Linked DNA regions of Neurospora crassa OR74A. The protein of the gene in region 1 interacts with the protein of each later gene in a biochemical or structural test. Links are inferred from orthologs where the notes say so. Each region holds a gene or a part of one and is shown in the gene's direction. Other genes may lie near its edges.

Region 1 (3,869 bases):
TGACCAGGGGGGACGAGGTCGCGTCGGGAAGGTCGACTTCGTCAATCAACGGAGCAGACGAGTGCGAGCCAAGCGAGCCAAGAGCGAACGATGGTTCCTGTCCAGGTTACGCCCGACTGCCCGGCAAGACGTTGCACCCTGGACTTGCCTTTAAAGCCAATGGGATTGGCTCGGCCCTGGTCTGCAGCAGCGGGTCCACCCACCCACTGCACTGCGAACCCACTGCAGAGAGTCTAGTGTCCACTGCGCTTCGTCGCCGTCCCAACGTCCCCCAGCATCCCGCCCGTTCCTCTTCCATCTCACAAGCGAACGGCACCGCGACGGCAGAGTGAGATCGCTGGGGAAACGAATGGCGAAGAGCCACAGCTCACTGGGCTTGTCCTAATCGGTGCAAAAAGCGGTGGAGCACCACAGGCATCGCCGGCGTCCAAATCTGGTGTAGTGTAGGTGGAAGGAGGAACCGACGCATGTGCCGGCCACTTCACGAACCCCCCCTGTCTCTTTCCTAGGCTTGTCTACACGACACTACACTACATAGTACACTACACTACGGCTTGGTTTTCCTCTTTGAGCCATCTCCTCGTCATTACATACACTACGACTACGGGTCTTGATGGTTGTTGTTCCATCAAGGTCAACTTTTGGTAGGAAGACTTCTAGCTTCACCAGTCTGACGATCTCTCGGCCAGAAGTTCATGTCCAGCTTTACATTATTGGTGATGTACAGACGCGTGGGCAAGGCGGTTCGATGGTCATATGTGTGTAGTTACATTTGTGCGACCATGAATGATATGTACCCGAAAGGCTTCGAGATCCGACACGAGGTGGAAATCCGCGCGGTGTAATATCCGGACCTGGTGGAGAGGATCGATGACTTTGTTCTCGAAAAGGTCATTCAAGGCATCGATCCCATCCGTCTGACTCGAAGGAGTTTTGCTCCATAGTATTTTATACTGGGTAGTCGTGGAATCATATACTATGTGCCTCATAGGGGTAATACTCGTTGAGAGGTCCGCGATCCCTTCCAGACTCGGAGCAGAGTGCATGTCAAACATATTCGCTTCGCGGGTGAACACTGTACACCAAAGACCCTTTTTTCGCTTCAGGAAACCTCGTTAGAAGCATGGGCCGGCGTTCCGCTTGTTCTGTTTGTGCTTTCTAATCACCTTCCACATCATCAGTCCGTCCCCTTGGAAACTTTTGTTCAATGTTCCAGGAAGATGTTCTTGACAAGTGCGATTGTAGGGATCTGAGTAGTCGTCTTAGTCGTCATTGCACATGTCAATCATGGTTGAACAAAAAGCAAATGAAAGGACACGGAGATGCAACAAGAGCCCGTGTTAGGACAAGGTCTTCCTATAGTAGCATTGGCACTAACATGTGCTAGCGGGGCGGTGTTTGGCCGACGCCCGCCTGACGGTGCTGTTCCAGCCCAGAGGGCATGGGTCTCGATGGCCTGGCCCAACAAGAAGCGGACGGCTGTGGTTGGCTTCGACACATCGCCATTCAGCCTCGAACAACAGCTTGATTCCATCGATACCTCATCGCATCGCCATTGCCGCCATCGATCGCGCGTCGTCTATCAAACCCCTCCCCCTAATCCATCGACAATCGTCGAGCCCGAACCACGACCGACACAGCGACGCGCTTCCTTGACCAAACCATCGCAACTTACAATCCATTAACCTAATCTAACGACGAACCCTACGATTCGGCAATTCCAGACCTCATTGCTCCCCACGCCATCACATCGGCTCTCTCTATCCCAACGCGAGACATCAACATCATCGTGTACAGTCAGGAACCATCAACAGCGATACTCGCCTGATTTGCGCCAAAGCTCTGAAACACGACCACAACAAAACCTCGGGGACGTTTCAAATACCGCTACCATGAAGCTCTACTACATTGGTGTAAGATACGGCTGCTTTCATAGGGGGTACAAGAAGGTACCTGCTGACCGCGAACAAGATCTACAAAAACACCGAGCAGCCTGCGGTGCAGCTCTGCGGTGCCCACGAGCTTAGCGACTTCTCCAGGTTCACACGAGACCAATACAAGAACTTCATGACCATGATCAGCAGGACTGTCGCAGAGAGGACGAAGCCTGGCCAGAGGCAAAGTGTTGAGGAGCAAGGTGCGTCTATGGTGAACTCTCTGCTCGCATACATGTGCCTAGCTGACTAGGTGGTGTCCGAACAGATTATATTATCCACGCCTATGCCCGCTCCGAGGGTGTTTGCGGTGTCGTCATCACCAAGGACTACCCTCCTATCGCCGCCCACAGTGTCCTTTCCAAGCTCATGGACCAGTTTCTCTCGGAGAAGCCGGTTGCCACGATAAACGCCGCCAAGAACGACGGCGACATCCCTTTCCCGGCCATCGAGCAGTACCTTCGCGACTACCAAGATGCCAACAACGCGAGCAGCATTGCAAAGATCCAGCAAGAGCTCGACGAGACCAAGATCGTCCTACACAAGGCAATTGATAGCGTATGTCCATTCACAGAGGGTAGCAATGCTCTATATAACATGCTAACCTAGTTTTAGGTTTTGCAACGAGGCGAGAAGCTCGACGACCTGGTTGCCAAGAGTTCCGACCTGAGTGCGCAGAGCAAGATGTTCTACCAGAGTGCGAAGAAGCAGAACTCGTGCTGCCTGGTTATGTAAAGATCGTTCATCAATACCAACCAACCACGCGCGACTGTCTTCGCTTTTAGTCAGCCGCACTGATATATGCCATCGACCGCAACGTTCCCCCTACCCAAATACAAAGAGCGACTGACCCCTCGTTGTCTTCGAGGCACTGGTGGGGGTCTCTTCTAATTCAGCTTTTGGTTTCCGCGCAGGTTGCAGTTTGGCTACTGACGACAGAGGGCCTTACAGTAGCCGCTTTGGATATGTGAAAGCCACTTACCTTGACGGCTTCGTGGGCTCTGAGAATGCTAAACTTCTAATTCAACCTGCAATATACCCTTTCTCATATTCATTGTTGTGTGGTACATACCCGAAACTGTGAAAGATTGACCACTGTTTGGCGCTAAAGCTGTGAAATACATACTTCGACTACCAGATGTAGGTAGTCCTGTTATAGATTTGTTATGTGTCGAACCCGAGGCTGCGCACTTATCTGAGAGATCTTCGCTCCGTTTCTTGCATACCCGTTAGTTTCATACGACATCCGCCCTCAAAGATTATGTGATGGGCCGACACAAGCGAAGCGGTCGGGTTCCCCAGTCACGACATTCGGTTGCAGTGATGACGACCTTGTCCGCCACGCCGTAGTGGCGTAAACTGTGCGAGTCGTAACTAATGTACACTATGGTATATTCTAGGGGTTGTTATCCCTCTCAAGCTAGCCCAGCCAAAAAGACTCTTTTGAAGATATGAATGGAAACGTTGAGATTCAAACTACAAGACTACGCAGCAGCATCAATTGAGCTGATCGATGATGGCGGCATTGCGTACGGATCTTCCTCCATGCCGATCTTATATCGGCTCCGTCGGCGTCTACTCATGTGCACTACAGACGTTGGATGCAAGCTGGGGTTCGAACAACATCATAGGAAACTGAGACTGTAAATGTGCGGGGTGGCAGAGGCGCTCCTACCTGATGTCGCGCCTTTGCTTCAAATGAATGGGGATTCGGCTTACGGCAAAGATCATATTAGAATTCATGGGATCATCATTGGGGGTCTTTGTAGGTGACTGACATGTCGAGAACATCTATAGTCAAGGTAGAGAATATGTCACAAGTGAGAACTGCTACATATACGGCGTAAAACTCATTGTATTGGGCTGGGCTTTATTTGACACCAATCGAACCCTAAACAAACCCATTGCCGGGACCCAGTTGACTGGGCAGAGATA
Region 2 (4,222 bases), on another chromosome or scaffold:
ATCTTTAAAAGGTTGCTCTTCACTTTGATATGTACAATGTGTGTTGAGAGTGTCATCGCTTGGCAAATCATACACTTCCTAGGTTGTGTTTTGAACGGCTTCAAATCTGGAACAAGTACATGAAAGTTGACTTGAACAGTGGCAATCACTACTCCTTAGTGAACATGCCCTTCCTGCTCTGAACTCCTCTATCCTGTGTACCCTCCAACCATCTCGATACTATGTGCTGTGATGAAAGCCAACCGGGTCCTCTCTTCAAAGCCGTTGCTGAATGGAAAACAAAAGTAACTTACCAGCCTCTCGCGAGAGGAAGCCATGGTCATATAGGCTATGGTAAAAGCAAGAATATATCTTCCAGTGGTTCTGAATAAGGTGTCTAGAACTGCAACGTGCGTCTTGCGGAGTAAGATCTCCGATGTCTTTGCAAATATAAGATGTGGGAAGCGATGTCCATGTTTCAGATGTTGAACGTTCATCATGCTGTGTCAACATTCACCAACGCCAGGCTGCTCACGCCCACCTCCTATAGCTCCTTATGGTCATATAGCTGGCCAATTGAAGCAAGCCATTAACGTGCCACGATTCCATAAACGTGCCCAGGCCTAAAGAAAACAAATCAATCCGGGTGGCATGGCGATCAAAGAAATGAGATGACAAGATACGTATCTAACACCACCACGCTACTTCCGAACTTAACTGACACTCAACGGTCGTCACTGCATCAAGTCACTTTTTCGTCTTGAACGAAACACGGCACAGCGACCGGTAGATCCGTTAACAACCTAGTAGACCCCCAAATTCCCTTGTATGTACGACAGAGTACACGAATCGGGTATTCCCTGGTGCTGAGACACCACACATTCTTTGGGTCGGAGACAATGAAAGGTCAAAGGTCATGTACACTTCAGTTGCCGTATACAGAGTCACAGCCTGTGTGGTTGTGATAGTGGGTGAGGTGACTTGTTCTTGTGATGCGGCTGGACCAGGATACTACACTGGAGGACAGTACCTATTGAGAGTGGAAAGATCCGACAGGAGATACTACCCGCTGTTCGGCAAAGACAAAGACTCAAAAGCTCTAGAAAGAAAGGGAATGAATGATTGCAACCCATCAATGGAAACACCAAGTAGGTACCTACAGTATCTTCTACTCTACGCGCCTTCGTCCCTAATTTGGGTCCCTGGCAAGCCTGGATGGAGGATGGCGTCGTCGTTGTGGTGATGACATCAAATCCAGTGGCACCCTAGGTCGGGTCCAGTCGCAAGGAGCATCCACAACCGCAGGTGCCACCTCAGCGCACGACCCACTTTTCCCCCAGACGCCCGGGCTCTGGAAGCTGCCTCGCTGCCCTGCCCGTGTATGTGTAATGGTGCGCTCTGTGATTCGGGTCTCAGTGGCCAGGGCGCGATTGCGAGGCAGTGGCAGCTTCGACGCCGCTCACCCATCATTCATGCCTCTGCCGCCGGTCCCTGTTCAACAGATTTGCTCGCATTGATTAACAACAACGAAGGGCAGCAGCACCGGGGGCAAGGCAGCGTGATCCATATTGTCTGTCCGTGAGGTGTCCGTCGTGCTTCCATCCATTTCGCAACCAAGCAGTGAGTGGAGTGAGCGGTGCTCCTCGGTACATAGCGCGGCCTCTCTGTGCTTGTTCCCGTCTTCCATCTCTTTGTGAAGACCGTGATTCCTTCCAGCCTCTCCGCTGTCCCGCTGCTTCACGCAACCCAACAATCCCTCCCAGAAACCCCAAAAAAAGAAAATCATTCAACACCGTGTCTCATTGCCCGTTCCCGCTCGACATCGTCCCCTTCCCTCCAATTTGTGTCGTCAGCCACCAGAGCACATAGGCTTCTTCACATTATCAGTGAACTCGCAATACTCCGAGCTCCGTTTGAGGCGTGCTTTGGCTCCAGCTGCTTTGTCTTTAATCATTTGTATCGTCGATCTCGCTTCGCCCTCGCGGCCCTCGCAAACGTCAAGAACAACCCCTGCGTCCACCGTCCACCTTGTTGTGGAGCGACCGATCCGACTCCCGACCACCGACCAGGGCACACCACCGACCGCCTGCCGGACCCAGAACGACAACACCGGGGCGCCCTCCGAGTCGACTTCCCCGGCATTCCACCACAACAATCATCGCCACCACCACTTTGCGGCATCATCCAAAAGCGCCCGGCCTCTCTGTTGTACATCGCGGTTGACGGCAGATCGCTTCGCGTCCCTCAGCAGCCATGGGCGCTTCCTGTTCCTCGTGCTGCGGAGGTATGTGACGCCCTGAATGCCTTTCTTCCCTTTCCGTTTATGTATATGTGATGCGTGCAGTAAAGCTAACAGGACCCGCCAGGCAAATCCCGCGACGGTTTGTATGATAACGTCCTCGCCGACAGCGAGCGGGAGGCTGTTGCCGACCTCCTCCAATATCTCGAAAATGTATGCGTACCGATATCTGCCCGCGTTATTACGGAAGCGCTAACCCTTGTGTAGCGCGGAGAGACCGACTTCTTCTCCGGAGAGCCCCTACGCGCCCTGAGCACTCTCGTCTACTCGGAGAACATTGATCTTCAACGGAGTGCAAGTCTGACGTTTGCTGAAATCACCGAGCGAGGTACGTAGCGTTGGAGACATTGTATCAGGACCCTTTGTCTTGGTCTTCGGGTTGCTAACTTTGTCTTGCTCATGCTAGATGTGCGGGCAGTTGACCGGGATACTCTTGAACCCATCCTCTTCCTTCTCCAAAACTCCGATATCGAGGTACAAAGGGCAGCCAGCGCGGCGCTGGGGAACCTTGCTGTAAACAGTAGGTGCTTTTCCCGAAGATGTCTATGTGCGGTAGAGATGACTAATAAGAGAACAGCCGACAACAAGGTCCTGATAGTCCAGCTCGGTGGTCTGGCCCCCCTTATCCGTCAAATGATGTCGCCCAACGTCGAAGTTCAGTGTAACGCTGTTGGGTGTATCACTAACTTGGCCACGCACGAGGACAACAAGGCCAAGATTGCACGTTCCGGGGCTCTAGGACCATTGACACGACTCGCCAAATCTAGGGACATGAGAGTTCAACGCAATGCTACTGGCGCTCTCCTAAACATGACACACTCTGGTAGGCTTGTACCGTGACGGACGTTGTCTAGACATTGCTAACACGTGATAGATGAAAATCGCCAACAACTGGTCAATGCAGGCGCGATCCCTGTGTTGGTTCAGTTACTGTCTTCCACCGATGTCGACGTCCAGTATTATTGCACTACTGCCCTCAGCAACATTGCCGTCGACGCCAATAACAGGCGGAAGCTTGCGCAGACCGAGCCTCGGCTTGTTCAGTCTCTTGTCAACTTGATGGACTCCTCTTCACCCAAGGTTCAATGCCAGGCCGCCTTGGCACTCCGGAATCTCGCCTCGGACGAAAAGTACCAGTTGGAAATCGTTCGCGCCAGCGGTCTCGGTCCTCTTCTCCGTCTTCTTCAGTCGTCTTATCTACCGCTCATTTTGTCGGCTGTTGCCTGCATTCGAAACATCTCAATCCACCCAATGAACGAGTCTCCCATCATCGAGGCAGGATTTTTGAAACCATTGGTTGACCTCTTAGGGTCGACCGATAACGAGGAGATCCAGTGTCATGCTATCTCAACCCTCAGAAACTTGGCAGCGAGCTCGGACAGGAACAAGGCGTTGGTGCTTGAGGCTGGCGCTGTACAGAAGTGCAAGCAGTTGGTGCTTGAGGTTCCAGTGACGGTACAGTCGGAGATGACGGCAGCCATTGCCGTTCTGGCGCTGAGTGATGAACTGAAGACAAATCTTTTGGAGCTCGGTGTGTTTGAGGTTTTGATTCCTCTTACCAAGTCACCTAGCATCGAGGTTCAAGGAAACAGTGCTGCGGCTCTGGGTAACCTGTCATCTAAAGGTCAGTGGAATGCTTGATGAACTGTTGTTTCTGGGCCTGACATGCTGACGAACGAACAGTGGGCGACTACAGTGTTTTCATTCACAACTGGAACGAGCCAAGCGATGGCATCCACGGCTACTTGAGCAGATTCCTCGCTAGCGGCGACGCCACTTTTCAACATATTGCGATCTGGACACTGCTGCAGCTCCTCGAATCTGAAGACAAGAAGCTTATTGGGCTGATTGGAAAATCGAACGACATTGTGGATATGATTAGACAGATTGCGAACCGCCAGATTGAGTCGGATAACGAACTGGAGGACGATGACGAGGGTGAAG
Region 3 (4,243 bases), on another chromosome or scaffold:
AGGAGCTCCTTGGCGGAAACCTGACGACCATAGAGCTTTGCATTGGCGTCTTTTCGCTCGATTATCATAGAACCTTCGAGAGACACGCCAGCAAACAAGCCCTTGGTCTTGGAATAACTGAAGATGCCCGCTACGCTTCTCAGCGAAGCGGCTCCGGCGGCCTCGGCATTTCTACCGACAGGCCCGGCCGCGACCGAAACGTTACCACCAAGTGTAAGTGACCCAGCTTGGGCGAAGGTTTTTACGGCGCTCGCGTCGTTGAGAATGAAAACGAAATCTGTAAGCTCGAAACCGATCTGACCGCCGAAGCCGGCACCACCCGTAGCAATGGCGGTGGGGGCAGACCAGCTGCCGTCGGGGAGGCGGGCGACTACCAGGCCGCTACCGAAACGGGCAGATCCGAGGAAACCAGCTTTGATGACGGTGAGTATAGCAAGACCCTAGGAGAACGTTAACCACCTGGTCGCTTTCGTTGAGGTTGCGGATGCTGTTTCGTACCTTGGCATTCGCGAGCACTGATGGCGGTATCACCTTGTCGGGACCAAAGGCTTGTTTGGGCTCGATGAAGGAGGCGAGGATTTTACCGCACTTCTTACATTCCGCTGGTTACAGACGTGTTAGGATGTCGGATTCGGCGAAGCGAAGGGGAGTTGCGGGGTCGGGCTCGCACAGCACGGGAACCCCGGGGACACAAACTCACACGAAAGTGACGACGGAAGAGGGTTGTTGATACCCATCTTGAAGTGTCGAAGCGGAACTCCCTATAGCGGACTGGCGCGGGTCTTGAAGGGCGAGGGCGTGTAGAGCGGCTGCGGTGAGAATGCCGTGGAAATGCGACAGCGACAGCGAAATATTAGAAAGAAAGAAAGAGATGGAGTTCGTCAGTCATTTCTCGGGACACTGGCCGATCAATGCCTGCAGGCACACTGGCAGGCAAGCAAGTAAGCAGATCAGCCCGGTCAATTTCTTGTGTACATAGTAAATGCGAGGTTGGTACCTGGGCGTCCCCACAACGGCGGTTTGTCAAGATGCTGGGGAGATCCTTGGGGTCACTTGTTGTTCGTGATGAACGATCTTGTTCCCGGAGGATAAGCCTTTGTGCGTGCTCTTTTGTTGGTGTAACTGTCCGTTTGAGAGTTTGTTTTTTTCCCTCTTCTTCACAGATCGGAGTAACTGATGAGCGAGGCTAAACAGTGGCATGGAATTCATCACAGTCAACATTTGAAATGGAAGTACTTGGAAATGGAAGCTGGAGCTCGTGCCGCGCGTCATGTGAGAACTGTAGCACTGGACCCTCAATCACTGGAGACGCTGGGATGGGCTTGGGCAAGCACTGCCGCCGTGGGCTGTGCAGTAGCGTACACTACTGTACCTCTACTTCTCTACTTTACTCCGTCCCTGCGCCCTGCACCTTCCACTTTGAATACCCGGGCCTTGTCCAGCGGGCAGAGCAGAGCGGGCGTTCGTCGTTACGTAGGTGACTGACTGACGGGACCCAAAGTTGCAGTGGCCCGACCACGAGCACAATCAAATGGCTCCAGCAGGCTCCGCTCCCCCCGAAAAAGACCCCGCATTGACCATGCATGTGCTTTACGCGCAGCCACACGTAAATGGCCGAAACTGACATCATTCGCGACTAGGAGGCCGTAGCTGTGGCTGGTGTATGCATCAACAAGCTGCAGTGAGCCGGCCGCCCCCATCATGATGGATGCATGATCCCGGTGTCCTTTCATTGTGACCCTGAACTGAGTGCATCTGGAACCTGCTACAACCTACCCCCTTTTGACATCCCCATAGCACTCAGCAATACCTAGGAACACCACGGCTTCACTCCGAACAACGGACGCTGCAAGACACCGAAGCCGACCCCCGCGCGCGCGACAAAATAACACGTAATAACATCTTCGATAATACGAAACTCGGGCCATATCAGCGAGTTCCAATTAACCCGATACTCAAAACTGACGAGTGAACCTCCCACACGGCCGCTGAGCGAGTCGCAACATACAACTACGACCACAACACAACCCCCCCCCATTACCATTATCAAGATGTCCGCAAACTACGAGCGCGAGCGCCAAAATAATGCGCGCCTCGACGAGCTAGCCTCCAAGGTTTCTGCCCTTCGAGGTGTAACGATTGACATTTACGACCAGGCGCGCAACCACGAAGTTATCGACCAAACGGTACGGTTCCTTTGATTTTACTCTGCACAAAATAACAAACTGACAAGTCCCACCAACAACGAACAGACCGATACCTTCTCCTCCATGGGCTCTCAACTCAAAGGTTCCGCCACCCGTCTAGGCCGCATGGCCGCATCGGGGAACAAGGTCGCCATTCTCAAGCTCTCGGGTATTCTTATTGGGAGCTTCCTGGTCATTTACTATCTTTATCGACTTTTTGTTGGTTAAATGATTCAAAAAGTCACGACGTGTGAGAGGGCTAAAGTCGTTTGAATATTGGGTCTATTGGGTCTATTGAACTTCGACATGCGAATACATGCCAGGAAGCAAAAGGAAGGGAGGTTCTCTTCATCGGGTTCACTACAACAACACAGGGCGAAGGATGTAGAGGGCGGCACGATTCGATTCCCGACAAATATCAGGAATGATAAGACGGATGCGTGCGAAGCCGGACATCAAGACAGGATGGAGCTTGTCCGGATAGCTTGTTGGATGTTGGAGTGCTGGTACAGGCGATGTGCAGTCCGCTTGCTCCCACAAAAGCCGCTACTAGTATTGCGCAGAGGAGGTGCAATGTAGGGTGGGGCAATGGGTGGGAGGGTAGCAGGTCACGCAGGACCGTAGGTCTGTGTTTTGGTGGATTCTGAACGAAGTGTGGATTTTGGTTTACAGACTGGGCTTAATGTTTTGTCTCGACAACAGACGGGTAGATGCAAAGGCATAGCAATGGCGTTGACGGTTCGGTTTTGTTTGTTTATTTGGGATTTGGTTTCTGCGTACCTTAGGTTGTCATTGATACGTCGTGTCGTATAAGCCAGACATCGACATTTCTCAGTCTCATCCTTGATTTTTCATTTTGAAACTTCAAGGACATCAGAAGGACATTAATGAGGGCAACACACACCTTACAAAAGATAGGAGGATCCTATATAAAAGTGCATTACTTTTGCCCTACCAACGAACAATAACTTGTTGTCTATAATGTAAATATGCCAAAACAAAACATGACTTGCTGATGTAAGAATGACTGCGTTGTTCATCATTCCCCTATTTGTCACGCATAAACCATCATTTGCCTAACTCTTAACTAGATCAGACTCCCACAGCATAAGTACGACATGGTGTTCGTGGATAGCATCCCCTTTCCAGTCAGGTGGTATAGAAGGAAAAACAAGTTCGGACGCTTGATGGGTTTGGTTTGGTTTGGTATAAGTTTGTCCGAGCTATTTCTCACATCACCTGCCGGTTGATTATATATTTACATGGTCGGCATCAGGCGCGAGGACAACAGCAAAAATCCCAGTAGACTGCACTCGGTTACCTCTGAACCCCATGTCGGAGATCCCTGAATTGTCGTTCTAAGGTTTCTTATTGCCAGACGTTTGAGAACAGGTCGTCACTGCCACCAAAACCGGTAGCCGGCTTGGATCCGCTCGGAGCAGCTGGTGTGGTAGTGCTGCTCATCCAGCCCCCAAACTCCTCATCGGCCGCCACCTTTGGTGCTGGGGCAAAGCCGCCCGAAGCGCTGGGGACAATAGGTTGGCTTGCGAAGGAGCCGCCGGTAGTGGAGGAGGTGGTGGTGCTGTTGCCCCATCCAAAATCGTTAGAAAGAGGGATAGAGGTAACAGGTGCTGGCTTGGGCGGTTCAGGAGCCGCAGGCTTGGGGGGCTCAGGGGCGGAGGCCCACTCGTTGGAACCCCATACACCTGCATCTGACCAGGCGTTAGACGTCGCAATAGAGGCAAGAGGGTTTGGTGTTGTTGAAGTAACGGCTGCAGGGGCCGGCGTGGTTGCGGCGGGCTTGGAAAGGTTGAATGCGGAGCTGAAGTCAGATGAAGGCTTCGGGGCGGCGGCCGAGGGAGGAGCGGTAGTAGCAGTAGCTGTTGTGGAAAAGTCAAACAGGTCACCGAGGGCGGAGGAAGCGGGCGCGGGCTTAGAGGCTGGCGCAGGAGGAGGGGTTGATGAGAAGCCCAGTGGGCTGCTGATGGACTGCTTGGATTGGTGGGAGGATGTGGCGGGCTTGGAATCGAAGAAGCTGCCACCGCTTAGGCCGGAAA

What was found.
Region 2: the proteins of NCU08973 (region 1) and NCU01470 form a complex in vitro, tested with the Saccharomyces cerevisiae proteins (2 studies listed by BioGRID). The link is inferred for Neurospora crassa OR74A from reciprocal best matches to the Saccharomyces cerevisiae genes YKT6 and VAC8.
Region 3: the proteins of NCU08973 (region 1) and NCU03889 form a complex in vitro, tested with the Saccharomyces cerevisiae proteins (2 studies listed by BioGRID). The link is inferred for Neurospora crassa OR74A from reciprocal best matches to the Saccharomyces cerevisiae genes YKT6 and SFT1.

What each region holds. Positions count from the first base shown.
Region 1 is NC_026503.1:4,097,265-4,101,133, reverse strand, and holds NCU08973 (SNARE protein Ykt6), read left to right. Parts: upstream 1-1,450; 5' UTR 1,451-1,892; coding exon 1,893-1,913; intron 1,914-1,971; coding exon 1,972-2,137; intron 2,138-2,202; coding exon 2,203-2,492; intron 2,493-2,549; coding exon 2,550-2,669; 3' UTR 2,670-3,124; downstream 3,125-3,869. Other genes in the region: NCU16686 (hypothetical protein), read left to right, coding at 1-332.
Region 2 is NC_026505.1:4,631,927-4,636,148, forward strand, and holds the start of NCU01470 (vacuolar protein 8), read left to right. Parts: upstream 1-1,422; 5' UTR 1,423-2,232; coding exon 2,233-2,263; intron 2,264-2,345; coding exon 2,346-2,431; intron 2,432-2,485; coding exon 2,486-2,606; intron 2,607-2,684; coding exon 2,685-2,798; intron 2,799-2,855; coding exon 2,856-3,101; intron 3,102-3,152; coding exon 3,153-3,902; intron 3,903-3,961; coding exon 3,962-4,222. UniProt on the Saccharomyces cerevisiae protein: Functions in both vacuole inheritance and protein targeting from the cytoplasm to vacuole (cvt). Involved in the formation of nucleus-vacuole junctions (NVJs) during piecemeal microautophagy of the nucleus (PMN).
Region 3 is NC_026506.1:2,053,157-2,057,399, forward strand, and holds NCU03889 (SNARE), read left to right. Parts: upstream 1-1,443; 5' UTR 1,444-2,051; coding exon 2,052-2,186; intron 2,187-2,252; coding exon 2,253-2,414; 3' UTR 2,415-3,554; downstream 3,555-4,243. Other genes in the region: NCU03888 (DUF500 and SH3 domain-containing protein), read right to left, coding at 1-440, 499-602, 701-737; NCU03890 (stromal membrane-associated protein), read right to left, coding at 3,555-4,243. UniProt on the Saccharomyces cerevisiae protein: Vesicle SNARE required for retrograde transport within the Golgi complex.